3 linked regions of the Danio rerio genome follow. The protein of the gene in region 1 binds, or shares a complex with, the protein of each later gene. Links are inferred from orthologs where the notes say so. Each region holds a gene or a part of one and is shown on either strand. Other genes may lie near its edges. The genes, in order: kcnip2, kcnd3 and kcnd2.

Region 1 (9,478 bases):
GTGCGCATCCCATGCATGCTGCGCTATCCCTTGATGCCCCGCGAGCAAATTCATGAATGCGACGCAACTGACACAAGTAGGTAACATGACCATGACAAAATGGCGGATGTAGTACGTGCGAATTCCATTCATGCTTTTCACATTCATACTGGCTGTTTCTCAATATGCGTTCTTCAGCGGTCTTCCGTCCTCGTGTTTTCGTGCAACGTCATCATCAGCTGCCTAAAGCCTGGTTTATACTTCTGCGTCAGGTGACCGGCGTAACTCACGGCGCATGCAACGCGCGTAGCTGTGCATTTATACTTCTGCGCGCTGTCTCTGTTGGTCTGCATTAACACTTGTGAAACGCTAGTTGACAGTGAGGTGTAAATGTTCCTCTGTGTCGAGTTTCTTCGCTGCTTTTTTGCTTTACATGAACACTTCCTGGTTGTACAAGTGGCTCAAACTTGCTCATTTTGAGGCAGGAACCGGCGGACGTGCAACAACTTTAACTATGAGGTAAACACAAAACAAAACTTTCCATCCGGAGCTCCTTCACGGGACTCCACACTTGTAAACAATCATTCGCGCGGCTCTCGGTCCCGCCCAGACTCGTCAGCGCTACCAAGCCGACCAATCACAGAGCTTACAATACACGTTGTTGCGATGCGTAGTTACATTTTTTGAGAGGTGCACGTCAGTGACTGCGACGGCCACAGCGAAGGGCTATGCGTCAGCGCCGTAGCATACGCCGGCGTTTGACGCAGAAGTATAAATCAGCCTTAAGTTCAGTTCCAATACTCAAGACCGCAAGTACGGAGGACACGTGAAACTTCCCGGATGTGATCTTGATATCGAGGATGCCACAATGCAGACTTCCGACAGGCACCGAACTCGCTCTGGAAGTCCCAGAAGTCATTGCGACTGGAAGTGGGAAGCGCAGCATTTTATTTAGATTTATTATTAAAGTTCAGAGATATCACTTATTTATCTCAGGAGTTTCCCTAAATGAAAAGGTGAAAGTAAACATTAACATGAATATCTTAATAAAGGAATAAACACATTAAGGGTGTTTGTTTGCTGAAATTCGTATTAAAATTTGTTTATTTATATTGTGCAGAGTATACGTTATTTCTAATGTTTTTATGCAAAGTATATATTTTGAAGAGGGGGGAAAACAACAAATCGTTGTATGAATGCTGTAATATTTAAATAATTTCCATTTAAAACACGTGAAGGTCATGTGACCATCAGGAAGAACACAGCATCCCATTTCTCAAAGGACACGTTCTCTGCCCTCGCGGTCTCCTGAGTTCGTTCCATGGACACCTGGCAATACCGGTCTCCACAAGAATGCAAGTCCGTTGTCTACGTTCTTGGAAGTGAGAAACAGCCACTGTATAGAACGTACTTTTCTAACGGCCAAGTAGTACGTTTAAATTCAAATGCAGTACCTACTAAGTAGTAGGCGGTTTCGGAGGCAGCTGAAGTCCACCGCTTGAGAGCAGTTCAGAGAACACAGACCTGTGAATTTTGGTTCCGACCACAGTTTTTCCCAAGGGCTTGATTATTGGGGTCGCCAGATTTTCAAGTAATTACAATGTTTTCTTACAGGAATGTGCAGAAATTCGCGTGAGATTCCTTTTTTAAGATCTTAAAAAAGGAATCTCACGCGACAGTACAAAACAGTATTTCTGCTTCAGGATATTTCAGCCATATGGACACAGTGGATAATTAAGTGGAGCAAAGCCACACCACATGCAGCTCAATCTTCCATTGTTAAATGCGCAACATTTTCACGCTAGCCAGCATGTTTTATGCAGGAATGTAGCTGATCTGATTTGCTGCAACGGCCCCTTTAAATACGAGATCAATGTAGCGAATTTTGACGCTCTCGCTGCCGGAGCTGAAGGCAGACAGCGTTGTCACCAGGGCGGCCAGAGCGACCTTGGACACTTTCACCGCATTCGGTGCATTGGCATTACACTGCAGCTAATAGCATTAGTGTTGGCGTAAACACCTTTACCTCTTTAGTGATGCAGCCGTCTTTATTGAGATCGTACAAACTGAAGGCCCAGGATAGTCTGTCGGTGACTGTGCCGCGCAAAATGATCGACAGGCCCACCACAAAGTCCTAAGGCCAAACAGAAATGAGAGACTGGTGAGTCTGTGATGTAAACATATTCATTAAATGACGCTTATGATTTTGAATTCAAATATAGGAAACTACATTAAAGAGCCTTCATTATACATGCAAAAGGGTCCTATTTTGGTTTTAAGGGTCTCCAACAACCGGCTGAAAAGGCCCGTGCACACAGAGAAGCTTTTTGCTCGTGTTTTCCAAAGACCGCCTAACGCCTTGTGACTAAATAAAGGGCGCCAATGTGATCATGCACAACAATGCGCAAAACAGCAGGTGTAGAAACGTCATTTTTAAAGAAACGCCTCATGCTCTTTTTTTTGTTTTGATGCGCCACGTCAAAACCTTCTCCGCCAATAAGATTGGCACTTTTGTTCACGTGCACGGAGCTGCTAAAGTAAACAGCACTAGGAGGCGCTCAAGCACAAAACTGTCAATGTGAGCGCACATTGAAGAGGATGCCCAGAGGTGATATGAACGTGAAGCTGCTTATTGCTCTTGTGAACAATAATCAATTCTTCATCGATACAGCTGGAGCTGGTGCTTGAACCATCCATGCGTGTTCGAGTCACCAGTAACTTTAACAACAAGCGTGTGAACTTCCCTTCATCCTCTTCTTCTGTGTTATAAGCGGGCTGTCAGAAGCTTAAAGTTGTTTAGCGCCATTTAACATCAAGGAGTGATTTTTGCATACTCTTTTGCTCGACGCCAGTTAAAAATTGATTGGGTTTGAATCCAGAAAAACGTCTCATAAAACACTAACGATAAACGCAAAGGAAAGTCGTCCCAGTGTGTACAAGCCTATATGCTTGCAAGGTCAAAAAACACTTTCATTGTCTTATAATCTGCATTTATTTTTACCTAATTATCCCAGCGACTCCCATATGATTTGTTAAGTGCTTCATTTGTTCCCAAACCCCTCCTTAGCGCAAAGCTAATCTCCCGTATTTCAGACCCATCTCCCGCCACCCTCCCATTTTGTTATTTATCGGGTCCTCAGCATTTTGGTGTGTTCTGTGAAACCCCTTGAAAACCAACTTTGGTATAGGATCCGATTGCAACGGCTGCCCGAAAAACGCTTTATAGTAATCAAACCAAACCAAATCAGGCCTTTATTTGTCACATACACTTTAGTAGAGTGAAATTGAACCTATGAAGCATATGTTTATACACTCTCAGAAAAAAAAAGGTAGGCGTCCTTTCTAATACCTCAAGGGTACATATTAGTACCTCAAAAGTACAAAAGTGTTCCTCTTAAACATTTTAGGTACCAATATAAACCCAAATTTATCTTTTAGCACACAAAATAAGAATTTCTTAGCCACAATTTTGACAAAAGTGTCAAACAGGGAAATACAGCTGTATAGGTGCACTTTTTAATTCAACAAAACTTTCCTTTAAAAAAAGAATTATTGTCATGTATCTAAAATATGCACAGTAATCTGTCCTAGCTAAAAGTCCCGGATCAGCGGTTACCTACACATAAACGGAGAGTAATCTCCCTTTAAAGCAATGTAATTGTAAAAATATGATTAAACCATATTAACAAATATAATAATATATTATTATTTTAATATAGGCCTATAGGTTTATATAGGCCTGTTTATCTGTTCAAAGAATAATTCAAATGAAAGCAGTGACCGCTGCTGCTTACAAAAGAATATGTGTTTTATTTTTTACATTTTGAGCTCTTGAAAGCAGCAGGATTGTGGGTGCATGATCATCGCTCTTTGTCCAGTATTTACCTACTTTTTTGCTGTTTTTCTCGGCGAACAGTTATTTTTGTCAGTCCTGCTGCTTCTCGATTCTAAGATCACATTTGCAAGAATATTGGGCCATGCTTATTGTCCAACTCAAGCTCATTCTGAAAACGTAGCACCGCGGACATTTCTGGAGACGTATGGCTGCATATTGTTTTTTCAAGCGAACGCTACGGGGCGGTGTGACGCCGCTCCTCTTCGCGCTCGCCTGCTGACGGCTCACCTCCACCATTTGGAGGGCTTTCCCGCTGCAACCAGTTTGTCCGGTTAGCTCGTCGTGTTAATTGTCCGGAGGAGGAGCCGGCCGCAGAGATGACCGGGTTCGAGTCCAGGGAAGAGCGGTTCCAGAAATCAGGTAAGACAAAAAACAGAATTTAAAAAATAAAAGCAAACGAGTTTGTAACAGGGTGAGAATGTGGTGAATTCCGAAAACGTGGTCAAAATCGGACAAGGGCTTTTCTTTTTCTGGATGGCTTTTGTAAATCGTCCCTTGGGTTTAAGGAAAGAGAAGGAGGAGGGTGGCTGGGTCGGCCAATGGGCCGGCCGCCCAGTCAATCATTCAGTTAGTCGGTCAATCGGACAGACGGTCGCTCGACAGCGGCCTCTAGCAACTTTTTACGTGAGAACAGAGCGGGCGCAAACAGCGCGTTCGCGAGAGGCGTTCGAGATGCGAAAAAGCGCGCACATCGGCCTCTCACGGCTTCCTGAAAACAAAAACTGCAAAAATACCATTTGTACCATACCATACCTCCCGAGATGTATTTCGCGATCTCCAGAAACGTTCATGGGGCTACGTTTCCAGAATAAGCCTGGGTTGTTATTGTCGAACCCTGCTTTTAACAAAACTACAATTTAAAAACTATTTCCAACCAGCCAAAGTGGCGAGCGGAGGTCTCTGTTTAACCCGCCACAGCTCAAATCTACTTGCATTTGGCGGGTTAATGGGTGTTAATGTAAGGCTCTGCATGTCAGCATTGCCTTTTGAGGTTCAAGTATTTATTAAATGAGGAAAAGATTCACGCAGCTTCTCCTACCGCAGCAAATTCCCCTTTTTTGTTGATATTTGGCTCCAGTTAATCAGTGACAATTCTGTTCTCTTTGGATGGAAACAGTGCTTTATTGGCAAATTTGTTTGCGATGTTTCAGTTTTGAGCATAAATTTAATTCGCACCCTTGGATAGAAACACAGCTAGTGAATAAAAATCAAACTGACCTCAAAATTCACTGCTCCATTTTTGCGTCTGTCGAAAGCCTCGAACAGGAAATGTGCATATGCACTAGAATCTTCAAAAGAAGAAAACAGCATGAAACTTAGACTAAGAAATCATTTGAAATCATCATTTAAAGGGAACTAAATAACAAATCTGATTATCTTCAAGCTCTGTGCACTCACCTCCATGAGGGAAAAAGTGAGAGTAGATTAGTTGAAAGGTTTCTTCATTGACTACTCCAGTGGGACAATCCTAGAGCACAACAAAACAAAACACTGTTAAAAGATGCACTGAAAACATATTTACAATGTGTTTAGTAACAATAACCTGATTTAAGAGAAGTATTTAACGGGACAGAGCCCTTTTTTTTGTACACATGAAGAAGAAAATGTTTGCAAACAATTTAACTAATTTGTACATACAGTATGATGGAAAACGCATGACCTGAACAATAAAAAGCATTGACAAGACCCCATAAACCTCACCAATGGGACATGAACTGTTCATACAAAAACATACAAATAAATTAACGTGAATTTATCAAAACGTTGCAACAAAATAACCAAATCATTGTCGAAAAGAACCATGTTAACATCCACAGCAACTGGCAATAGCGATAACTATATTAGCATCCACAACAACAGACGATAACTATAATGATACCTATATTAGTATCCACGAAAACAGACGATTACTATGACAATAACTATTTTAGCATCCACACCGACAGACGATAACTATAATGAAAACTATAGTAGTATCCACAACAACAGACGATTACTACAATAATAACTGTATTAGCATCTACAACAACAGACGATAATTATAATGATAACTAAATTAGCATCTACAACAAAAAACAATGATTATAACAATAACTATATTAGCATCTATGCCAACAGAAGATAACTGTAACGATAACTATATTAGCATTTACAACAACAGATGATAACTATGACTGTAACAATATTAGCATCCACACCAACAGACGATTACTGTAATGATAACTATATTAGCGTCCAAACCAACAGATGATAACTACAGCTATTACAATATTAGCATCCACAACAACAGATGATAACTACAACGATAACTATATTAGCATCTACAACAACAGACGATAACTGTAGCGATAACTATATTAGCATCCACACCAACAGACGATAACTATAACAATAACTATATTAGCATCCACACCAACAGAAGATAACTATAACTATAGTAGTATCTACAACAACAGATGCTAACTATAACAATAACTAAATTAGCATACACAACAACAGACGATAACTGTAGCGATAACTACATTAGCATCCACACCAAGAGACGATAACTATAACTATATTAGCATCTACAACAACAGATGATAACTATAACGATAACTAAATTAGCATCTACAACAACAGATGATAACTATAACAATAACTATATTAGCATCTACAACAACAAATGATAACTATAACGATAACAATATTAGCATTCACACCAACAGACGATAACTATAACTATATTAGCATCTACAACTATAGATGATAACTATAACAATAACTAAATTAGCATCTACAACAACAGATGATAACTATAACGATGACAATATTAGCATTCACACCAACAGACGATAACTATAACGATAACTATACTAGCATCTACAACAACAAATGATAACTATAACGATAACTAAATTAGCATCTACAACAACAGATGATAACTATAATGATAACTATATTATCATCCACACCAACAGACAATAAATATAGCAATAACTATATTAGCACTCACAACAACAAATGATAACTATAACGATAACTATATTAGCATCAACACCAACACACAATAACTACATTAGCGTCCACAGCATCACTAATGACATTTTTAATTGTATTTTTGTCGACTGTTGAAGTTCCCTAAAATTTGTAGATTCTTATCGGCTGTCAATGTTTTCATTGTTCATCAACAAAACATTGTAAACGTGATTCTACACATTGTTGAATCTTTTTAGCCCAATCTGGCTTAATTAGCTTCTTACATTTTTGAAACTTCTGTACAGGATTTGTAGCTCGGTTTTGGTGAACTTGGTCAGCTCCATCAGTTTATCCAGACTGTCCGGCCTGTAGCACACAGTAGCAAGCTCAAAATCCTCCTCTATACTGTCTATAAGAGAGATGAAAAGATACAAGTAATCATACAGACCTTTAAAAACAGCAGTGAATTCATTTAACACAAGAACCACCCCATATACGGTTGAAAGTAAAATGATTCACTCTCCAGCGAAATTTTAAGTCTTTCAAATATTTCCCAAAGTCATGTTCAACAAAGGAGTATGTTTTTTTTAAGTCTCACTTTCTTTAGTTTGGCTGAAACTAAATAAAAAATTAACTTGAAGTGTGTTTAGACTGGTGACACGGTGGCTCAGTGGTTAGCACTGTTGCCTCACAGCAACAAGGTCGCTGGTTCGAGTCCAGGCTGGGTCAGTTTGTGTTTCTGTGTTGGCACGTTCTCCCTGTGTTGGTGTGGGATTCCTCCGGGTGCTCCGGTTTCACAGTCCAAACCAAGCGGCAACCTCCCGCTCTCCCTCAGGAAGCCAATACGGAAGTAACTAAAACTGCAATTCATCCGAAATTCCGCTAGTCCTGGCCGCTCCTGGCTCCAAAACAGAGCAAATTTCAATTGAGCCCACTGTTAGAATGGCCAACTTTACAGCAGAAAAAGGTGTTTACAGCCTGGTACAAAAAAAGATTTTGGTTAAAACAGCTAATATTACCCTTCATGACAACTGTGAGGGGGGTGAATTATTTTATAACTCATCCGTTTCCTTTATATTGAGTTATATTAAGTTTGCCTAATTAAGGGCGTGGCCACTTGAGTGACAGCTAGGTCTCGTTGGTCGCCGTCACGTCACCCCAGCTGAATCCTGCAGATTAGCCACTGAACTCGGCATATTTATCGTATTTCTGTGATGTTTTATGTGGCTTTACACAGTCAATTGCCTTTTGAACTTGTTTCCTACAATTATTAGATGTCATGGCATGCTGAGTGCACTTAATTGTGCTCACAAACCATTCACGTGGCCTCCGTTCCCCATGTGAGTAAAGTTATATACTTATATACCATCTCTATACATGTATTTATTTTATTTAAGATCATTTATCGTTTATATTTATATTTAGAGCTGTAATGCACTGCAGAATCTGTCAGATTGATTAGCTGTAGGCTCTAGAACAGTCATCTGAAGCGTTGTCATTCAGTGTTATGCTGGATTTCATCAATAGTCTTACATTAACTAACACAGACTATATCTGAAGTGTTTGGTAGTAATTCGCGTTTTCCCCCTGTAGAAAAACGTCATAAGAACAATGTTTAGTGGCTCAATGTAGTACTACAGTATTTTTAAAAGACTAAACACTTTATTGATATAGTGTACAACCAAGAAAAAGTGGTCAGAATACAAACGAGTCGCAGGTGATAAAGTATTAAGCGTTCTCCCAAAGTTAAGTGTGTCTGAACCAGGTCCAAGCTAAATGCCAGCAGGTGTCTGTAGCTCCGCTCACTCTCCCTTGTTATGCCCTTGTTTGGTATCCCGCTGTGGGTGTGATGACGCAGTAACAAAATGGCGACGGTTGGCCGCGCCTACTTGTGGCTTCTTTTGCGCTCTTTAGAAACCTATGGGTGACGTCACGGACACTACGTCCATATATTTTACAGTCTATGGTCCAAACGCATGCACTATAGGGGAATTGAATAAACTAAAATGCCCGTAGTGTATTTGTGTGAATGAGTGTTTGGATGTTTCCCAATACTGGGTTGTAGCTGGAAGGGCATCCGCTGCGTAAGACATATGCTGGATAAGTTGGTGATTTATTCCGCTGTGGCGACCCCTGATGAATCCTTACCAAATGTTTATTAAAAATGCCCTAAATGTTTAGTTTACAATACCTATAGGTTTGTTTTACCAGTTGTTTTGTATTTTAGAACTTAATAATTAATGTTTATGAGTTTCCTTAAACATATGCTTTTAAATAACGGTACATGTTTTAATATGGAAATGATTCATAAAATCACATTGAATATTAAATATTTGTATATTGCCGACAGGGAAAACCCCCAATCATAGATATATGTCTATATGTGTATATCTCTGGTTCTGGATGGCCATTCCTCCACTGCACCTTGGTCCCACATTCATTTCAAAGGAGTGCTACCCTGTACTAAAATGGCAGCCCTATGGACACATTCCTTCAAATAGACAACAATAGCATTGGCGACATCTAGTGTAAACATCTATGGTTTGGAACCATATCTATGTCACAGTAAATGGTGACAGAATTTTCATTTTTAGGTGAACAATCCCTTTAAAAGTAGATAAGTGTAATCGTGCAGGAAGAAGAGCG
Region 2 (10,089 bases), on another chromosome or scaffold:
TAAGCTTAATTTAAAACATTTAAAAATCCTACTAACCCCAAACTTAAAAAACAAAAACAAAAAAAAAAAAAACAGTAAATTAAAGTGACTATTAATTGTGGAGTTAAAATGTCAACATATATGCAGCTGTTAATTAATATTTTACAGTGCTACAACAGCTACCTTCCAATTAATATTTAGTGAATAAGATGTTTATTAGGAGAATTTGTAGTTAATAGTAAATGCGTTCCTCATACTAAAGTACCACAAAATTGACTTTACCCGAAAAACTCAAACTCTCTAAAACTAAGACAGCACATTGTCCAAGCAATACATTTCTTTGCTCTTTCTTTTGCTTTATTTTCAGCTCTTAGTGTGCTGTCTTGCCAAGACAAAACACAGAGCCATGAAATTCAACAGTAGAGCAGCTAAATTAAATGTTACTGGTGTAAACAATTCCCAGGAAGGAAGAAAACACTTCAGACAGACGACAGTACTGAGAAGACTAGTTAACCATTCAGACACAATATAGCATGATTTTTTTTGATGAACTGTTGCTGTAGTTCCCCTAGCTAACATGCAGAGTATCAGGCGTGTGTTCATGAGGCAGCAGGTCTGTGTGTTACATGTAAAGAGAATGTCTCAGTCTCACCAAAACTGAACTGCAGTGCTGCGTTTTACTCTGACAGATTGAGGTGGAGACCCCAGTATCTCGCACTTCAGCATGAACGAATCATTGAATAAGAGAAGCACCAGGCATGTAAAGCACACCATTGCATTGGTCAGGAGCACAGATAGGAGGCCTCAGAATCAACAGGTGTATTGCAAAGTGATACAAACCTGGTACAATCAACTGTAAAAAACTGCTGGGACGTGAAAGCGAACCCTGGTTCCAACTGAATGGGAAGCACCCCCACGCACAGACAGTGAGACTACATGACGTCAGCGAGGTTGGAAATGTCATAGTGGTTTACATTGTTCAGCACATGTACCTGAGAACATTAGTCACAGTGACACACACTTCTAAGCTGTGTTTTATTGATGAGAAGAGTCTCTCTCGCCCTCGATCTCAGGTCAAGTCTCAGATGCGGGTGGAGACTGGATCTCTGGGGTGAATGTAGTAATGAGTAATGAGATATGGGCTACTTTGAAATCCATGTAAAACTAGCCAGCAGATTATCACAACAAGCATGATACCTAGGGTTTATAGTTCAACATGGTGCTCACAAGGATCTTTAAGAGGTTTAGCCATTCACAAACTGTAGTTTACACAAAAAAATGAAAGCATGAATACGTAAGACATGTGTAACTGTAATTCTACATTTGACCCCTGACACAACTGCATTCTCCAAGGACCAACGCATTTGCCAATGTAACATTCATGAGATACTGACTTAAGTCCTTGATCTTGATGTTTTGGGGTCATTGGGCTCACGGTCAGGTGCTTCCGCCAATCATCAACCGTCTAACCAGCAAGCCAAAGCCTGTTTTGACTACAGCTCCAGTTTCAAAGCCACAGTGACACGGCAGCTATATACCCTAGCTGCTGATAGTATAAAGTCGATTACTCAAGTCATCCGCCATGTAATCACTCAAACTAATTGCTTGAATTAATTCTACCCTTGCTCTTAAAACCAATCGTGTCAAACGTCCACACATATCCGTCATGAACACACAAATAAACGGCCTGTGATTTATGAGGGGCGGGTTGTATTAAATGGGGCTCTACAGCTCTGCAGCTGCTTGCCTGTTGTTAATGTGGAGGGGAAAATGCTGAAGGATGTTCCTCTGTTTGCTTCACACATGCTTAAATATTAATTGGTGCATAATAGGGATGAATAAAATCTAGCCTGGGGCAGGAAGTTAAATTCAAACCTACCGCTGCTTCGGGCAGGCATGAGTGCAGTCAGCAACCATGGTCATTAGGGTTAGATGCTAATAGCAGTTAACTCAGAAAAGAAGGAAAATCCACAAGCTGCAGGGAAACAGCCTCTCTTTCACAGATGGAGTGTAAAGCAATATTGTAACCAGTTGTGTTCTTTTCTGTTGCTCTTGTGTTTTTTAAATCTTGTACATACACTCAAAAATAAAGGTAAAAAAACTGTTTTTGTCTTTGTACCTTTAGAAAGTACACATTTGTACATAATCGGTTAATACTGGTACCTTAAAGCATACGTCTCAAACTGGATTCCTGGAGACCGCAGCTCTGCACAGTTTTGCTCCAACCCTAATCAAACACGCTGATTCAACTAATCAAGGTGTTCAAGACTACTCGAACACCTTGATTATTTGGATCAGCTGTATTTGATTAGGGTTGGAGCAAAACTGTGCAGAGCTGAAGAAATTGAGTTTGAGATCCATGCCTTAAAGGGATGTTTTATTACCTAAAGTGTGCATAAATGTGCAAAAAGTGTAGGGTACAGTCTTTATACCTTTATTTTTAAGAGTGGGCCTACTTACAGGGATAGTTCACCCAAAGATTTTGTTCCAAACCTGCTTGACTAAGGCCCAATCTGAATTCTAGGTTATACTCCTTCATCTACTCCAACACCTCTTCCTTCTCACAGAGTGACGAGAAGTGTACTTACATTTCCAGGGAATTTACCATTCACTTTCCTTTAATATTAGGTCCAAGAATCTTTGAAGGGCTATCTGGCACTTCCCTTTACCCCATACTAATCTCACCAAAAGAGAATCTAGATATCTACCTACAAATGGTTATGAGAATGGGCAGAAATAGGACGGGGCCTTAACTTTCCTCTGGGTAACACAGCAGGAGATATTCTAAAGAGCTTTTTTATTCATTTGAAGCCAGTGGAGCTCAAATCCACTCAATACTAGTTAATTGTATGAATAAAAACATTCTTCAAAAAAACCTTTCATGCTACAAAATCATACACTTTTGAAACATTAGGGTAAGTCATGACAGACTTGTTTTATTTTAACTGAGAGAAAAGCTGTATCTTTAGGAATACTTAAGCTTGTCACTAGGACAATACCATTGCAAGGTCAAATTTTCCATCATCTACACTTTTAGAAATAAAGGTACGCGAGTTGTCACTGGGGTGGTACCTTTTCAAACTGTACAAATGTGTACCTAAGAGGTCCATATTAATACCTCAAAGATAAATATTGGTACCTAAAAAGTACAAGCGTGTTCCTCTTAAAATTTGTAAGTACTAATATATACTTCTGAGGTACCAATATGCACCCTGCAAGTACAAATGTGTACCTTTTGAAAAGGTACCACAGTGACAACTCTTGTACCTTTATTTCTAAGGGTGTACTAATAAAAGGTACATATTAGTAGCTTAAAATAGTTATATACTGTATACTCTTAAGGTACTACTATGAAGATTTTAGGGGTTAATCAGGTAGAAGGATGTCTCTTGCAAATGTGCTGCACCTGTAACAAACTCCTATAAAATGCTTAAAATAAGGTACAAATGTTTTGACCTTTGCAAATTAACCCCTAAAATTTCAGATATTTTTACCCAATTTGTACATATTAGTGTTTTTTGTTTTGAAAAGGTACTTCCCCGCTTGCAGTGACAGCTTTTGCTCCTTTTTTTTTCTGAGAGTATCCCTAAAGGTACACATTTTCCACATCATTTCTGAGTGTGTTTGGTGAACTATCCCTTCATGACATAACCACTGAAATGCATCAGGGGTGTGGCTTGATGTCCGCCCAGGGTTAAAAAGTGTAAAAATATACAGAGAGAAAGTCATTCCAAGACAAAATGACTCACCCCAGTGTTGTCATGGTTACAATGGTGTACCAGAAGGAGGCCGGGATGCTGGTGAACTTGCTGGACGATGAGCCTTTCTCAGCATAGAACATGACTGTGGCAAAGATAATGATGGCCATGGTGAGGGAGAAGAGGAGGAAGCCAAGCTCTGAGGCGCAGCTCTTCAGTGTGTAGCCAAGGATTCGGAGACCCTGGGAGTGGCGGGAGAATTTAAAGATCCGGAAGACGCGGAACACCCGTAGTGTGACAAAGGCTCCGCTCACATCCTCATTGTTGGTCATGACGAGCCCGATGTAATATGGTAAAATGGCAACCACATCGATAATGCTCATCACGCTTCTCATGAAGCGGTACCGGCTGGGCGCCGCAAACAGTCGCATCAGATACTCCACTGTAAAGATCATAACACAAGCTGTGTCCATGCAGAAAAACGCCTCAGTGTAGCGTTCCCCGCAAGGGACGTCCCTCTGATTTGGCATATAACCACAAGGAACCGTCTCAACCACGTTGGTGATGACGGACAGGGCGATGAAGAATCCGGTTACGTAGTAGAAAACTAGTGCCATGGTGCTAGTGTGCGGGTTCTCAAAGGCCCTCCACATGGTCTCACGGAAAGTCATGTTAGGGAGTTTGCTGTCTTTGTTGTCCTCAAGGTCATCCATTAGACGCTCAGTGTTCTCCCTCTTGCGGTCCTTGTACTCTTCATAACAGCAGTCGCTGATGATCTCAGGAATGATTCCAAAAAACGCCAGCTCCTCATCGTAGGCAGAGATGCACTCGTAACGTGGGTAGTGCAGCTTCCCTGTGCGGTAGAAGTTAAGAATACTTCTGAACACATCTGGATCTCTGTCAAAGAAATACTCCCTTGTCTCCTCGTTGAAAAAAAACTCTTTCTCTGAGCTCCCCAGGAGTGTATCGGGGTATCGGTCCAGCGTGTTCCGCCATGTCTGGAAGCGTCGCCCGCTGACGTTGAGGATAATAAGCTCATCCTGTCGCTTGTTCTTATTGGATGGTGCAACAGGCATAGGCAGGTTGGCCACGGGCATCCATCCTATGGCCGCCGCCCGAGCGAAGGGGAGCCAGGCTGCTACTCCTGCAGCCATGGGGACTCCGGATGGGGTCGAGGGGACCAGATCAAACACCTTCACAACCAGCTTGACATTAGATTAGACCCCATCTACATAGAGAGAGACAGGGAAATGGGAACACAGACAAGAGTGAGAGGTTGGCAAATGTGGGAGGACAGGAAGAGGAGAGAGTTCCAGTGGGAGCGAGTGAGACAGATGTGAAATGGGAGTGAAAAGACGGCAAGAGCGAACAGGATGCCAGCAGAATAGAGAGGCAGAGGTAAAAGGGAAGCAATCACGTAGTGTACAGTAGAAAGAAGTATGAAAAATGAAAGACAAAGAGAGGTAGGGGGTACAGATGCAATGGAAAAGAAAGGAAAAAAACACAAGCAAAAGCAAATTAACAAAACCGTTGTCCATATCTTATAGATTAATTACAGTCCATACTATGCATTCATGTATATTCCAACACTATTGTACTGTATTCTGGCACAGCTGTACTGTTTTAAACAAATGCTAAGCATCAACAGCATAGTTAAAAAAAACACAAAACTGTTAAGTTGGTTTTACGTGTAGCATTCAACATAAACAGCATACATCATGCCTTTCTTAAAACAGAGAGATAGAAAAAAAAAACTGATTTCCTAGTTCAAGTAAGAGACTCCAAAGGGCACGATTGTGCTCGCGACACAAGAGCCCTTGAGCAACTGCAGTTTGAAACAGATGCGAACCTGTTGAGCTTTTATGCAAAGCTATAAAACGCTACAAAACATTGGTCACTACACACGGCCAATGTTGTAGTTCTTTCTTTTCTACAACCAAGTATTTAAGTGTTAACCACATTTATTCACAGATGCGCATGAAGACATATCGCAAAATATAAACAAGTCACGATCAATCATTATTATTGCAAAAATGGTAAATTCGCATTCAGATAAAATCCAGCAAACTCGTTTCAGCAGTTGTGTTCTTTGTTACTTACCCATGAAAAATCTTTTAACTTTTCATTCATTCGGCTATATTTGTCACATTTCCTCCTGACATCACTTCGAAAGTGTTCGCCGAAAAATCCGCACATTAATGAAGAAAGGCAAACAAGAACCCACGTGAAAGAATACAATATTTGTGGTATAACCAGGGTGACCGGAGGCGCAAAAAATAAGAGTTTAGTTGCTTATGTGTCCCTCAGTCACATCCTGCGCTGTTTAATGATCCATTTTGCTCGGACGGAGTGAAATGCCGCACCGACCGCTCGCGCGCTCGAAGTGACTTCCCGCAGGATGCTCAGCTGATGGATAGAGGTGGTGTAGTCTTTTCCCAATCTCTCTCTCTCTCTCTCTCTCTCTCTCGCTCTCTCCATACACTAGCACACTCCTTTTCTCCCTCCCCGAGGTCTCTCCGCTGCCAGGTCTCGCGCTCTCTGGTGCCGCGTGCGCGAGCGAGCGGTGTTCGTGGAGCAGAGAGAGCGCAAGACGCACAGAGGCAGTATATGCTTGCTTTCGCGCCCCTCACACTGTTCGAGAACGCGCCGATTTCACCTTTAGTTTATAGTGGTCTCACTCTGCGTGCCGCAGCTTACCTGAGCCAATATAGAAATGGGGACAAGGTAATTGATTTACAAAGTCATTCACGAGCCCTGTTGCCATCCTCATTTAAACATGACATTAAAACGTCGTATAAGACATCTCTCACATTGATACATAATGCAAATTGTCAGGCTTAAACCAGAAAGTATTTACGCATATGAAGTAAGCTAAACTGGCGCACATAGAGATTATTATTTTTTTTTCATAGATCATGTAATGTTTATCTGTTTTAATCTTTTGTGTGATGCAAGACACTGATGCAATGGATTCCTAAAATGCTTTCAGCCTGTGTGTGGGTTTGGTTTTCACAAACATAATGAAAACTAATATTACAAAAACACTTAAGAAGGGCTCATTGGGATTTAAAAGGCTTGTGATTTGGCCAATCATTTTGCAAACACTTATTTAAACGATGTTATTGTTTATGTGAGTGTTATAAGGTATATATGGTTGTCTCGCATATAGCCAGACCTTTGACTAGACTGCTAAAGGTCGGGTCGATAGTTTATTTTAGTCAAGAACGCCCACTTAGACAGAAAGAGCCGTTTGAATGATATGAAGCAATCAATCCCAGTTTGCTTGGTTTATACCTTTAACCAGAGGCTGTGTGACATTGTAAGTAATAATAAAAATGCAAGAAATTATGTTAACAATGACATGATTGACTCACCAAACAGAAAACATACTGAGACATTTCAGAAAATCTGTAGAATTTGGCATAAAATAAATAAAAATATGAAAACTAAGTGTAATTCATTGAGCAGTTGTATAATTTAACTGCAATTAAAGGTAGTATGCAATTTTTTTTTTTTTGCACACTTAGAGGCCTCATGTGAATTAGGATTTTTTTTATTAAGAACCAAAGTATTTATTTATTTATCTATTTATTTATTTATTTATTTATTTATTTATTATCAACCAGTGGCTCCTGCACTTCGAGAGTCAAAAAACGTATACAGCAATAGTCTGAAACTCAGTTCCAGGAGGGCTACAGCTCTTCATAGTTTAGCTTCAACCACCTTCAACTCACCTGCTTAATAGCCAATAGTAGTCCTAATCACCTTGATTAGTTGGATCATCTGTGTTTGATTTGGGTTGGAGCGAAACTGTGCAGAGCTGGCCCTCCAGGAGTCGAGTTTGAGATCATTGATATACTGGTAAAAAAACTAATGATACCCCCATTGCTTCTGATAACAAACTCGGTTATTATCTGTGATGTAAGATTTTTAAACATATTTACCTGTAATCAAGAGCCACTGCAAATAGAGCATGACCAGGCCCGGATTAAGAATTTAGAGCCCTCTGGGCACATTGTCTTGTAGGGCCCCTTACCCGGCCGCACCCCTATAGTTGAATTAAAAAATAAGAATAATATAATGATTTTTAAATAAAACAAATCTGTATTGCCTGCATTTTAAAATAAATTATATAGTACATATAATTCTAGTCTACAAAGATTTAACTTATTTTTAAAGCATTTACAGCACACTGATAAAAAAATTAATACAACTACAACATTCTGTTTAGTTGAAAAAAGAGAGAAAGAAAGAGAAAGAAAGAAAGAAAGAAAGAAAGAAAGAAAGAAAGAGAAAAAAATCTGCTGATGAATCTGCAATGAAAACGTGCTTTTCATTGATGGTGTTATTTTCGGACAATTTAACAATAAAGATAATAATAATAGTAATAATAAGTGGCAACTATTTGGTAAGAGGAAAATCAGAATTACTAGCTCCTCTTTGAATTGGTTTCTATTTTTAATATTTTCCAAATGATGTTTAAAAGAGCAAAGAAATTTTCACAGTATGTCTGATAATATTTTTTCTTTTGGAGAATATCTTATTTGTTTTATTTTGGCTAGAATAAAAGCAGTTTTTAATTTTTAAAAACCTATTTAAGGTCAAAATATTAGCCCCTTTAAGCTATATATATTTTTTCGATAGTCTGCAGAACAAACCATCGTTATGCAATAACTTAATTACCCTAACCTGACTAGTTAATCTAATTAACCTAATTAAGCCTTTAAATGTCTCTTTAAGCTGTATAAAAGTGTCCTCCAAAAAATCTAGTCAAATATTATTTACTGTCATCATGGCAAAAACAAAAAAAACAGTTATTTGAAATGAGATATTAAAACTATTATGTGTAGAGATGTGTTGAAAAAAACTTCTCTCCATTAAACAGAGATTGGGGAAATAAACAGGGGAGCTAATAATTCAGGGGGGCTAATAATTCTGACTTTAACTGGTTGTTGAGCCACTTGTGACTTTTTCATTATTTTCATATTTAAAAAAAAAAAAAAAAATTTTAATAAAATAAATGTATTTTCGATCTAATTTGTAATGGGGAAAAAAGAAAAAAAATAGTTCATCACACGCTGGATTTGAACTGGGTTGATGATCGATTGCGTTAAAACCAAGTCGTAACCTCCCGCTCTCTCTTGTGAAGCAAATACGGAAGTAACTGAAACTGCAATTCATCGAAATTCCGCTTTACCTGCCTCCATATAGAGCAAATTTCTATTGACCCCACTGTTAAAATGACTAACTTTACAGCAGAAAAAAAGGTGTTTGCAGCCTGGTACAAAGAACAGTTGGGTTCATATTACTAATATTACACTTTAAGACAACTGTGAGGGGGTGAATTTTTTTTATAACTCATTCATTTAATTTATAACAAGTTATATTAAATCTGCATAATTAAGGGCGTGGCCACTTGAGTGACAGCTAGGTCTCGCTGGTCATTTCACCTCAGCTGATTCCGGCTGATTAGCTGCTGAACTCAGCATATACATCATATTTTTCTTTTGTTTTATGTGGCGTTACACAGTCAGTTGCTTTTTGAAATTATTTTCTACAATTATCAGATACTACAGCATGCTGCGTGCACTTTATTGTGCTCACAAGCCATTCAAGTTACCCCTGTTTCCCATGTGAGTGAAATAATATACTTATATACCATATCCATAAATGTATTTGTTTTATTTAAGATCGTTTATCGTTCAAAATTTTCTTTAGACCCGTAATGCACTTCAGAATCTGACAGATTAATTAACTGTATGCTATAGAACAGTCATCTGAACTGTTGTCATACAGTGTTATGCCTGGATTTTATAAATAGTCTTACATTTACTAATACAGACTATATTTGAAGTGTTTGGAAGTAATTTGCGTTTTCCTTCTGTTGAAAAATGTCTTAAACAATTCTTAGTGGCTCAGTGTATTACAACAGTGTTTTTAAAAGACGAAACACTTTATTGATATAGCATATAACTAAGTACATGTGGTCAGAACACAAATGAGTCACAGAAAATGAAGTATTAAGCATTTCTCCCAAAGAAAAACCTGTCTAAGCTAAATGCAAGCAGGCTCTTTGCCCTTGTTTGGTATTCCCCGGTTGGTGCGATGACGCGCAAATAAAATGGCGATGATTGGCCACGTCTATGTGTAGCTTCTTTTACGTTCTTCAGAAACCTATGGGTGACGTCACGGTACTACGTCCATATCTTTTTACATTCTATGGTCAAAACATGTTGCCGTGCATTTAACAAGCTACACCACTCAAGCTGTTAAAAGTGGTGCTCTGTTAATCAAACACTGATGGACAGAAATCGCTCAAATAGTTTATTCCAACACGGTGTGCTATAAACACTTCTAAATCGGCATCCCCCCCAACAGGGGCCCCAAGTGCGCACGACCTTCGAACCTGTGC
Region 3 (10,153 bases), on another chromosome or scaffold:
CCAGAAAACGAGTCCATTAAAGAGGCGATAGGGGCCAGTGAAGCGGAGGCCATTCGTGCTGTGAACCAAAGTCGCATCCCGTCCCACTGCCTCCACCATTCCCACTCAGCCCATTGCCATTTGGGGACTCTTTGAGGGTTGAATGCTGATGCTGTAATCCAGCCAAACGGATCAATAGCTATGTTTCTGTGCACCTATTTGTAGTGGTGATGGTGAGGAGAGACCCCCTCATGCAGTTGTATAGCACGTTGGTGTATGGAAATACTTAAGAAATGAGCTGTATAAATGGACATTACTTACGATTTTTATGCCCATTTTGAACTATTGCATAAAAAATGCTTAATGAAAATGCCAACATAAAAATGTATTCGCACAGATGACTAGGATAAACCTTGGTAACACTTTAGATCACAATTCATGCTAGCTCGGCCCACTGAAGCTAAGCAGAGCGGTGCTCGGTAAGTACTCGGTTGCTGCCCGTAGTGGCGTTAGTAAGACCAGCACTCAACATGCACTTCATATGGGTCTTAATGCCCCAGTATATTGACAGAGAATTTATACTCCTCAGTTCTGGACAAGATGTGGTCGTTCTGTGTCCCTGTGGTTGTTAAAATCCCAGGTTGTCCTTTGAAAAAGAGTAGAGGTTTAACCCTGCCATCTAGGCCAAATTTGCCCACTGGCCTCCTAGCTATCTATACTTTGTCTCTTCGCCACCAACCAGCTGATGAGTGGTGTGCAGTATGGTGCAATATGACTGCTGACACATCATCCAAGTAGATGTTGGATACTGGTGGTGGATGAAGTGACCTCCCCCAATGACCCCCCTCCACCCCATGAAATTAAATTTACTGAATAAATTCAAACATGCGCATCAAAAAAGTCATGTGATGCTGTTTTATCAGATCATGGGATGCCAAAAATTGCAGAAAGTGACAAGATATATTTGGACGGACAAAGACATCGGAATATTTTCAATTATAACATATGAGCTATTTCATAGTAACCAAAAGTAATTTATTACATTAAAAAGGCACAAAGTGGTTAATTAGGAAGTGACAATTTAGTTCTCTTTGAGGCATTAGAAGGAAATAGTGTTTTATGCGATGTTCCAGTTTTGCACAAAAGTTTAATTCGCATCTTTGGAAAATAGCTATTAAATTGATTCGTTCAGCCACTTCAGGTGTCCGCTCCTGTTGCTAGAAGGCCACAATCCAGTAATGGTTTGGCTTAAGCCTCAATTATACACACATAAACTGGATAATCAGGGTATTTAGGATCACTTTCAGACAGGTTTACTGGAACTAAACTCTGCAGAAAAGTGGCCATATTAGTCTAAAGGTGAACTTAGGTACTAAAGCTTACTTACAATAGTTAGCAAAGTGCTCGGGTACTCTTGTGAAACACTGTGAAATATATATCTCTGGAACTTCTGAGCCAGGTTTGAGAGAAAATCCACGTGGCCTGTTCTCACCATCATGATATTGCGTCAATTGGGAGATAACCGGCATATCTTACACTACCAGACAGCAAAGCTCTACTCATTCTTTAAGCAGAGTAAGAGATAAAAAAGCCACTTCATTTCAATCAAAATGAGACCGAGATGAGCAGCGGTCCTTGGTGCGTGTATGCATAAATTTGGGGTCTAAAGCTGGTTGAGGCATTCAGGTATCTAACACAGAGTTATACACGATAGAGGCTATCTTTACGGATAATTAAAAATTCTCAATCATTCTCACACAGGCAGATTGAAGACGCCTGAGGGGTTGCGTATAATCTGGCAAGCGTGGCTTTCCTCCTGCTTTAATGCTGGCTTTTATCTCAGTAAAACTGTGCTGATAGTCAAAATGTTCTTCAATTGCGCATAGGGAAAGGGATGTCACAGTGTTTCGTTAATGGTAATCTATACCGCCCAAAAATATACCTGTAAATCTCACCCCTAGCTCTCTGAGCCACAGATCCATCCCTGTCATTCAGTCTAGGAAACGAGGCATTAAAAAGTGATGCATACATTTAGAGAGCCTGGCCCTTGTTCAATCAGAGCAGGTAAAGTCGTTTAGAGATTCCCGGACTGACCACTCTCACAAGTGTGTGTTTAAGCAGAAATGGAAAGGGAATGAGATTTCAGACCTGACAAAGGAGTGATGGTAGAACTCGACAAGCAAAGACAACGGAAGGATGAGATCTCAAATCTAAAAGGAGAGGTTCCTCCTCACCCCACTGTCTCTTAAACTTAAACTGTGTGACAATTTGAAACTTCTCTCTAAGACGACAAAAAAAAAAAAAAAAAGAAATGTAGCCACTCAAACATGAAATAGTCTCAAGACACAGGCCGATTTCACATCCCAAGCTTTGGCAATTGCTCGTCGCAGGATGAACTTGACTTTACCAGGTCAGATCTCTGCTGTAGCGACTGCCCCCCTGCGTGCTCCTCTTGATGGGCTCACTGAGGCAATGCAATAAAATCTGAAATGAGGAACAGCATGCCTGCCTGCAGAGAGAGGAGATGAGTATATGGGCCGCATCACTGAAGCCCTGCAGCTGTGGGTCTGTTTGGAAGACATAGTTCATAACCAGCTGGCTCCGACAAGTCATCATCTCTCCCTAGCATACACGAGCACATGCAGAGCGCACCCAACATTAAGACGATGCCGAGCGGTGCACCATAATTTCATTTTCTCATTGATGTCATCCGATTTGACAGGCAAGAAACGGCAGGACACAAATTGCACACAATAAGATGTGCCAATACACTCCCTCTCTCGTTTTCTCTCGCTCCTACTGGATCTTTTTCTCGCCCCTTTCACTCTAAACCTCACATTTTCTTTACAGAACAATGTAGGGCTGACAGGAAAGTAGAAGGGAATGGGAATGATTTGAACTCTGTGAGCCATAACTCTTCAGATATCACAAGGACACGCACTACCCATTGTGCCGCAGATCTGACAGACTCATTTTCTTATTATTAAAGGTTCGCGGTGTCTAAGAGAGGAACTTCTAACATTTCTCATGTCAAACACAACATTAGTCACATTCAGTAGACCATCTTCAGACATAAAGTTACAGATGAAAAGCAGACAGGTTACCCTGAAGTACAAAATGAGTCCTAAAAATCTCCTTTAAAACTAAAGAAAGTCTACCATTGACTCTAAAGGGAAACATGCATCATATCAGCCTGTCCCAGGCATCAGATTGACACTCACAATGCACAGTAATGCACTTCAAAGGCGTGCCGATCAAAGCACGGGATGCGTATTGGAGCATGCAGCTTGATTAATCCCCTCGAGTGACTCAGGACCGTGTCGGCTCACCAGCAAGGAATCGGTTGTCTCCCAAGCAGCCATGGGGCAACCACAACATGCGGTGGACAGATTCAGCACCATGGAGAGCACCCGCTTAGCACAGGATGGAGGCTTGGAGAAGTCATGCTGAGGCGTCTAGTGATGGGATTAATGAATGAATAACACATCAATAGCAAATGCATTATTGTAATCGCCTTCAGTGCTTAACGTCACATAAATCAGCCATGTCTCTCTGTGTGTTCATTGACTTTTTGGTAATTACAACATTGTGCCAAAGGTTCTTCAAGACGGTTTGCTATATAAAAAAAAGCAAGTCTTCCAAAAAAAAAAAAAGGAAGAATCTGTACTAACTTTGACACTAGGGGAGTCTCGTTTACCATGAGTGTGTATGAATATTAGAAGTACTATTTAAAACTCAAAAAAGCAAGTTGCTAGGAACAGATACAATGGAATGTCAGAGGGAGTACAAAACTACACTACATATAAGCTACACATCCACTTCTTTAATCACGGTACACATGTCTGTATAGCACTTAAGTCTTAACGTTCATTAACATCTAACTGAAGGTTTTCTTCGTTGAAGTCAGAATTATTAGCCCCCTAATAATAGAATTTTTTTCTTCTTTTTAAAATATTTCTCAAATAATGTTTAACAGAGCAAGGAAATTTTCACAGTATGTCTGATAATATTTTTTCTTTTGGGGAAAGTCTTCTTTGTTTTATTTCAGCAAGAATAAAAGCATAAAAGAATAAACCCTTTTAGGGTCAAAATTATTAGCCCCTTTAAGCTCATTTGTTTGACTGTTTACAGAACTATTATGTTTAGAAATGTGTTGAAGAAATCTGCTCTCCGTTAAGCAAAAAATGAGGAAAAAAATAAACAGGGGAGCTAATAATTCAGGGGGGCTAATAATTCTCACTTTAACTGTATATATGTAGTCAAAACTAACATAATTTACAAAATAAGTCAAGAATAAAACATAATTTAGAATAGTATGCTTTAAAGAAAAAAAATAAATTAAAAGTAAACCCAATGAGGCAGTCACAGATAGAATGATTGGTCAGATATATAGAGAGGAGAGAGATAGAGGGAGTCTATTTCTTTGATTTATCTCACTTGTATTGATCTCCCTCTGCCCTTGATGTATTTTACCTGCAGCTCTCAACTTTTCAGGACACGTTGGTGTAAAAGGGCTGCTTTGAAGCAGGCATGACAGCAGCAGATCATGCGCACAAGCTCGTTCAGTAAGTTTGCGCAGAACAACATGGACTCACCCCAGCGTTGTCATGGTGACGATGGTGTACCAGAAAGCCGCCGGGATGCTGGTGAACTTGCTGGCAGAGGAGCCTTTCTCTGCGTAGAACATGACGGTGGCGAAGATGATGATGGCCATGGTGAGCGAGAAGAGCAGGAAGCCCAGCTCGGACGCGCAGCTCTTCAGCGTGTAGCCCAGGATGCGCAGCCCCGCGGAGTGCCGCGAAAATTTGAAAATCCGAAAGACCCTGAAGACCCTGAGGGTGACGAAGGCCCCGCTCACGTCCTCGTTGTCCGTCATGACCAGGCCGATGTAGTAAGGCATGATTGCCACCACGTCGATGATGCTCATGACGCTTTTGACGAACTTGTACCTGCTGGGTGCGGCGATCAGACGCAGCAGGTACTCGACGGTAAAGATCATGACGCAGGCCGTATCCAAACAGAAGAACGCGAGGGCGTAGCGCTCCCCGCACGAGAGCTCCTTCGCGCGGTTTAGCGAGATGCCGCACGGGACCGTCTCCACCACGTTGGCCATAACGGAGACGGCGATGAAAAAGCCCGTGACGTAATAGAAGACCAGCGCCATGGTGCTGGTGTGCGGGTTCTCGAACGCGCGCCACATGGACTCGCGGAACGACAAATCCGGCATGACCAAGTCGTTGTTGTTGTCGTTCTCCTCATCGTCTTGAATTCTCTCCGCGTTCTCCCTTCTGCGATCTTTGTATTCCTCATAACAGCAGTCACCTATTATCTCTGGAATGATGCCGAAGAAGGCCAGCTCCTCGTCATAGGCGGAGATGCACTCGTGGCGAGGGTAGTGCAGCTTCCCGGTGCGGTAGAAGTTGAGAATGTGCCTGAAGATGTCCGGGTCGCGGTCGAAAAAGTACTCGTTGGTCTCCTCGTGGAAGAAAAAGTCGCGCTCTGTGCTCCCCAGTAAGGTGTCAGGGTACCTCTCCAAAGTATTCCGCCAAGTTTGAAACCTAGTGCCGCTGACGTTCAAGATGATCAACCCGTCCTGACCACGCTTCTTGTCCCGCGGAGGCGGCGGCATCGGGGCGCTCGCCACGGGCATCCATCCTATAGCTGCGGCGCGCGCGAACGGTAGCCACGCGGCGACTCCGGCTGCCATCCTGACCCAATGTGCGCGAACCGGTGCGACTGAAGCAGATTTTGCGCTCACTGATCCGCCACGCGCAGAAAGGACATCTGGAGGGACACAATGCGCAATCAGTTGGCGTAAACTTAAGCAATACTATCACTCACGTGAACAACGAGCCGCGTTACACATCCAGATTAAAGCATTCTAACAACAAAATGAGAGAATATAATGAGAGAGAACGTAAAAATGTCTATACGCGTACAAACTGCACGTGCTGACCTATTGCTCGAGAGCGAAAGAGAAAGCTTACCTCCTCATAAATGGATTTTGATGCAAAAGTGCAGCTTTTTACACACAGTTCATCAGTTATAGTCCACTTTGTATCGCTGTTCCGTCGTTACGCGCAAATAAGTATCCAAAATGCGCTCTCGGAGGTGTTCTGGAGCAAATGCAACAAGTTTACAAGTCAGGTAGAGGATTCGCGTTGTCCAAGGACATCCTTTTAGCCAGTCACAGCTGATATGTGCTTCACACTACCGCTTATAGAGAAAACCTGCCACAGTGGTCCTTTCATAGGGAGAGAAGACCACCCTGGCGAGTGCGCGTTCGGTGTTTCAAAAAAAGCAAATGCCACTTTCCTATCCGCTTCCTTGAAATGTAATCCAGCGTCCCGTGAACAATTTGGCAGGGTCTGTCTGTAACCAGAACAAAAACTGAACCTGCAACAAATGATTTGCTGGAAGTTGCTTCATCCGCTACCGACGGAGATCTGTGAGTCTGCGGTGGAGCCCAAGTTGCTTCTGCTCACGGCGCATTGGAGGCGTGTCACGTGCTACGGGCATCGGTTAACACATATGAATGTAACACGGTCTGTGTGAATGGTGTATAATGTACCATGAGAAGTGTTACGTTTCAATGTTTATTTGAAGCATTTATTTCTGTCATGAATAGAAAAACAAACACCCCCGTATAACGCATTGTGTAAAGACATCATTAAACAGATTTATGTTTAAGCAGAGTTTAACAGGAATTCAGTGAAGCGCTGAATTGCGAGCTGAGAGACTGGGAGTGAAAGCATTGCGGATGTTTTTACGTCTCAGGTTATTGATTCACACATTCAGCACTGACAGATATAAAATGGGGGAAGCCGCTAGATGGAGACAGTTTTCAGAGGTGAATGAAGATCAGACCTGTAAGAGCAATAGATTCGAGTCATGTGAAGGTCTTTTGCTGTGACAAACACAATCAGCAAGCTCGAAAATGCGATTATCTGTGTTGCAACTCTCCATACATGGGTCAATGACAAATAAGGATGTTTGAGATGATAAGAGGAGAAATGCTGCACACGTTGCAAATCTAATCTGACTGTAATTATCCGTTATTATAGATAGATAGATAGATAGATAGATAGATAGATAGATAGATAGATAGATAGATAGATAGATAGATAGATAGATAGATAGATAGATAGATAGATCTGTCAGTGCAATAAATCATCCATATTAAAATTGACACCTACAGTACAACCACTTTTTAACGAGGGAGAGAGAGATTAGAGAGAGAAATAACATAATCTGTAAAACAAAATCGCTTCACTTAAATAAGAATTAAAAATGGAATATAATCAGTCAGAAATTATCATATATTAAAATTTTAATTCTTTGCTGAGATAAACTTGTTTTTACGTCAGAACTGTGGCTTCTAAGATAATGCCCCAGCTTCTGAAAAAATCGACTTCGCCAAAAACTGATTTGAGCGAGTGAACCAAAACAGCTGCGGCAGCTCAGAGCGCCGTGCGTGTTTGTGCGCGCGCGCCCCCGTGATGAATTTCCTGGCGCGGGGCCTCCATATTCTCAACTGCCTTCCAAATTAGTCACATAGACGTATCGCAGATTAAATGTTGCGAGAGGAAAAAGAGAGAGTCTTTGATCTCCATGGCTTGCAGGGGTTTTCTTTTCAGCACCATGGACAGCGACCAGCCGCAAATACAGGCGTGCTGCTTGTTAGCACTGCGGACAGCGACTGTCGCTCTATTGAATATTGGCAACGAGCTTCTAATGTTTACATGCACTTTCTAATATCTTTAGGATATATTTTCTGTCTTTTGATGGCATTACAGTCCTTGAAATGCAGAATTGTACTGATTATCATCAAATGTCCTTCCACTCACCTTACTGCAGTTAACCTCAATCTACTAGATGCATTTTGTTCACACTGTTTACAACGTGTTCTTTTCACACGGTTTATAATTTGTTTGTAAATCCCGCCATCCAAAACATGTGTGTGTATTTGAACCCTGTATATTTTTAACTTAATCTTCTGTTTCATACTTCTCAAATTGTGAACTTTGATGCTGAAAATAAGTAATAAAGAAAAAGAGGCCAAAATCGGATGTTGTTTTGTATATATATTTATATATGTATATTAGTTTATCATTTTATTGTATATAACACCACTGTATTATTTAATTTTATGAATCTTCAATTTAAATAATTTAAATATACATATATAAAGTTGTCCTACACTCTTTTAACATTTTATTGCATTTTGAGAGAAAAAAGAAACAAAATACTAAACAAAAGGATATTAATCTTGTAATTTCACTATCCTTTATTTCACTGTAATTTCAGGCATTGTTTGCCTTTTTTCTAAAACATTTGATCCGTTTTTACACAAATTGTAGCATAGAACGCGTTTGTTGTGCTTGTCTATTTATGTACTACAACAAAAATATGGTATTATTTTAAATATTTTATAGTACATTATAGTTTTCACTAACAAACACAAATACCATGTAAATACGACAGAAAATCAATATACAAATAAAATACGTCTTTAAAAAAATCACTATGACCTTCTGAGGTTGACAACTGACCTTTTCACTGACCATCATATCGGCTGTAAGCCAGCATTTCAAAAAACACTAACTTTTCTTTCGCTGCCTCTAAAGCACTACCATTTCCTTCAAGAAAAGCAAATCTGCTTTAGCAATGTCACGGGCAACCCACACTCACACAAAACCACACCGCGCTAAACTCCATTCATTTTCAAAGCTAACAGGATTGCCTCATTTGAGCATTCTGTACCGTGGCCACGCACTATGTTTTACACAGAATGAACCAGAATAGTAGTGTTCAGCACCATCACAGTCAATTTTCTGACTTTTGTTCAGTGCGTTTCCCTGCCTCGGGTTGTTAGAGAAATGGCGCCAAAATATGACAGGCGCCGATGTCACCATGGTTACCAGTCACATCTATTTCAGTCCCGTGAGCTAAACCTGACAGTGTTGATGCATGAAGAATGTGCATCCTGACAGCTCATTGCCTAAGCGTGATAAAACTCACACCTCAGCCGAATTTAAAGAGAACAAATTATGAAAATCAGCTTTTTCTGCACTTTCAACACAAATAGTTGACTTTACTTATGTGAAAGCATGTTGCCTTAAGCAAGGGGTTTCAAAACTTTTCAGCCCGTGACCCCCAAAATAACAATGCCAGTGACTTGTGATCACCAAAATCCTTGGTGTAAAATATAAATATACAAACATTGCACACACAACAATAGGTCTATATAAACACAAGCTTGGTGCTAACGAGGCTCTGTTTTTTTTTTTTTTTCCGAGGGTCATCTTCAAATATTTAATAATTCTGAAATATATATATACAGTTGAAGTCAGAATTATTAGCCCCCCTGAATTATTAGCTGCCCTGTTTATTCTTTTCCCCAATTTCTGTTTAACGGAGAGAAGATCAACACATTTCTAAACACAATAGTTTTAATAACTCAACTCTAATAACTGATTTATTTTATCTTTGCCATGATGACAGTAAATAATATTTTACTAGACATTTTTTAAGACACTTCTATACAGTCTAAAGTCGCATTTAAAGGCTTAACTAGGTAAATTAGATTAACTAGGCAGGTTAGGGTAATTAGCCAAGTTATTGTATAACAATGGTTTGTTCTGTAAACAGTCAAAAATTGGCTAATAATATTGACCTTAAAATGGTTCATAAAAAAATTAAACACTGCTTTTATTCTTGCCGAAATAAAACAAATAAGACTTTCTCCAGAAGAGAAAAATATTATCAGACATACTGTGAAAATTTCCTTGCTCTGTTAAACATTATTTGGGAAATATATATGTTAGTATGCATTACAGTGTACTGTAAAAAAAATTTTATTAAACGTCTTTAAAAATCATTCATTCATCTATGTATTAAATATTAAATATTTTGCATAAAAAATGAGCTGCTCAAAGTTTGCTCCCCACAAAAGTTGAATGTTATTGCTTCCACCAAAAAAGTGAACATTAGACTAGTTATAATATATTATCTGTGTGGTATCTTGAGCTGAAACTTCACAGATACATTCTTGGGACGTCAGCAAGTTTTTACCTCTTATGAAAAAAAAAAAAAAAACATAATATATCCCCTTTCAAATACCTTTCCCCATTGGAATAGCACTCTGAATCTGTGATGTACCTTTGAGTTTGAG

What was found.
Region 2: the proteins of kcnip2 (region 1) and kcnd3 are in contact, whole or in part, in a cryo-EM structure (PDB 7W6S), measured with the Homo sapiens proteins. The link is inferred for Danio rerio from reciprocal best matches to the Homo sapiens genes KCNIP2 and KCND3. Residues at the interface, in NP_775283.1 of Homo sapiens: Arg112, Gly113, Phe114, Asn116, Glu117, Cys118, Val123, Phe128, Ile131, Tyr132, Gln134, Phe135, Phe136, Tyr144, Leu148, Phe152, Phe165, Leu169, Ile172, Leu173, Arg180, Trp183, Ala184, Leu187, Tyr188, Met201, Met205, Ile208, Met211, His228; in NP_001365898.1 of Homo sapiens: Val5, Ala7, Trp8, Leu9, Phe11, Ala12, Arg13, Ala14, Ala15, Ala16, Ile17, Gly18, Trp19, Met20, Pro21, Val22, Ala23, Asn24, Cys25, Pro26, Met27, Pro28, Leu29, Ala30, Pro31, Asp33, Trp54, Arg60.
Region 3: the proteins of kcnip2 (region 1) and kcnd2 are in contact, whole or in part, in a cryo-EM structure (PDB 7UKH), measured with the Homo sapiens proteins. The link is inferred for Danio rerio from reciprocal best matches to the Homo sapiens genes KCNIP2 and KCND2. Residues at the interface, in NP_775283.1 of Homo sapiens: Arg112, Gly113, Phe114, Asn116, Glu117, Cys118, Val123, Phe128, Ile131, Tyr132, Gln134, Phe135, Phe136, Tyr144, Leu148, Phe152, Phe165, Leu169, Ile172, Leu173, Arg180, Trp183, Ala184, Leu187, Tyr188, Met201, Met205, Ile208, Met211, His228; in NP_036413.1 of Homo sapiens: Val5, Ala7, Trp8, Leu9, Pro10, Phe11, Ala12, Arg13, Ala14, Ala15, Ile17, Gly18, Trp19, Met20, Pro21, Val22, Ala23, Ser24, Gly25, Pro26, Met27, Pro28, Ala29, Pro30, Trp55, Asp57, Arg61, Arg100.

Annotation. Positions count from the first base shown.
Region 1 is NC_133197.1:36,997,113-37,006,590, forward strand, and holds part of kcnip2 (A-type potassium channel modulatory protein KCNIP2), read right to left. Parts: intron 7,242-9,478; coding exon 7,117-7,241; intron 5,343-7,116; coding exon 5,273-5,342; intron 5,164-5,272; coding exon 5,093-5,163; intron 2,114-5,092; coding exon 2,006-2,113; intron 1-2,005. UniProt on the Homo sapiens protein: Regulatory subunit of Kv4/D (Shal)-type voltage-gated rapidly inactivating A-type potassium channels. Modulates channel density, inactivation kinetics and rate of recovery from inactivation in a calcium-dependent and isoform-specific manner.
Region 2 is NC_133183.1:30,000,382-30,010,470, reverse strand, and holds the start of kcnd3 (A-type voltage-gated potassium channel KCND3), read right to left. Parts: upstream 6,063-10,089; 5' UTR 5,778-6,062; intron 4,906-5,777; 5' UTR 4,832-4,905; coding exon 3,729-4,831; intron 1-3,728. UniProt on the Homo sapiens protein: Pore-forming (alpha) subunit of voltage-gated A-type potassium channels that mediates transmembrane potassium transport in excitable membranes, in brain and heart. In cardiomyocytes, may generate the transient outward potassium current I(To).
Region 3 is NC_133179.1:10,929,007-10,939,159, reverse strand, and holds the start of kcnd2 (A-type voltage-gated potassium channel KCND2), read right to left. Parts: upstream 5,687-10,153; coding exon 4,575-5,686; intron 1-4,574. UniProt on the Homo sapiens protein: Voltage-gated potassium channel that mediates transmembrane potassium transport in excitable membranes, primarily in the brain. Mediates the major part of the dendritic A-type current I(SA) in brain neurons.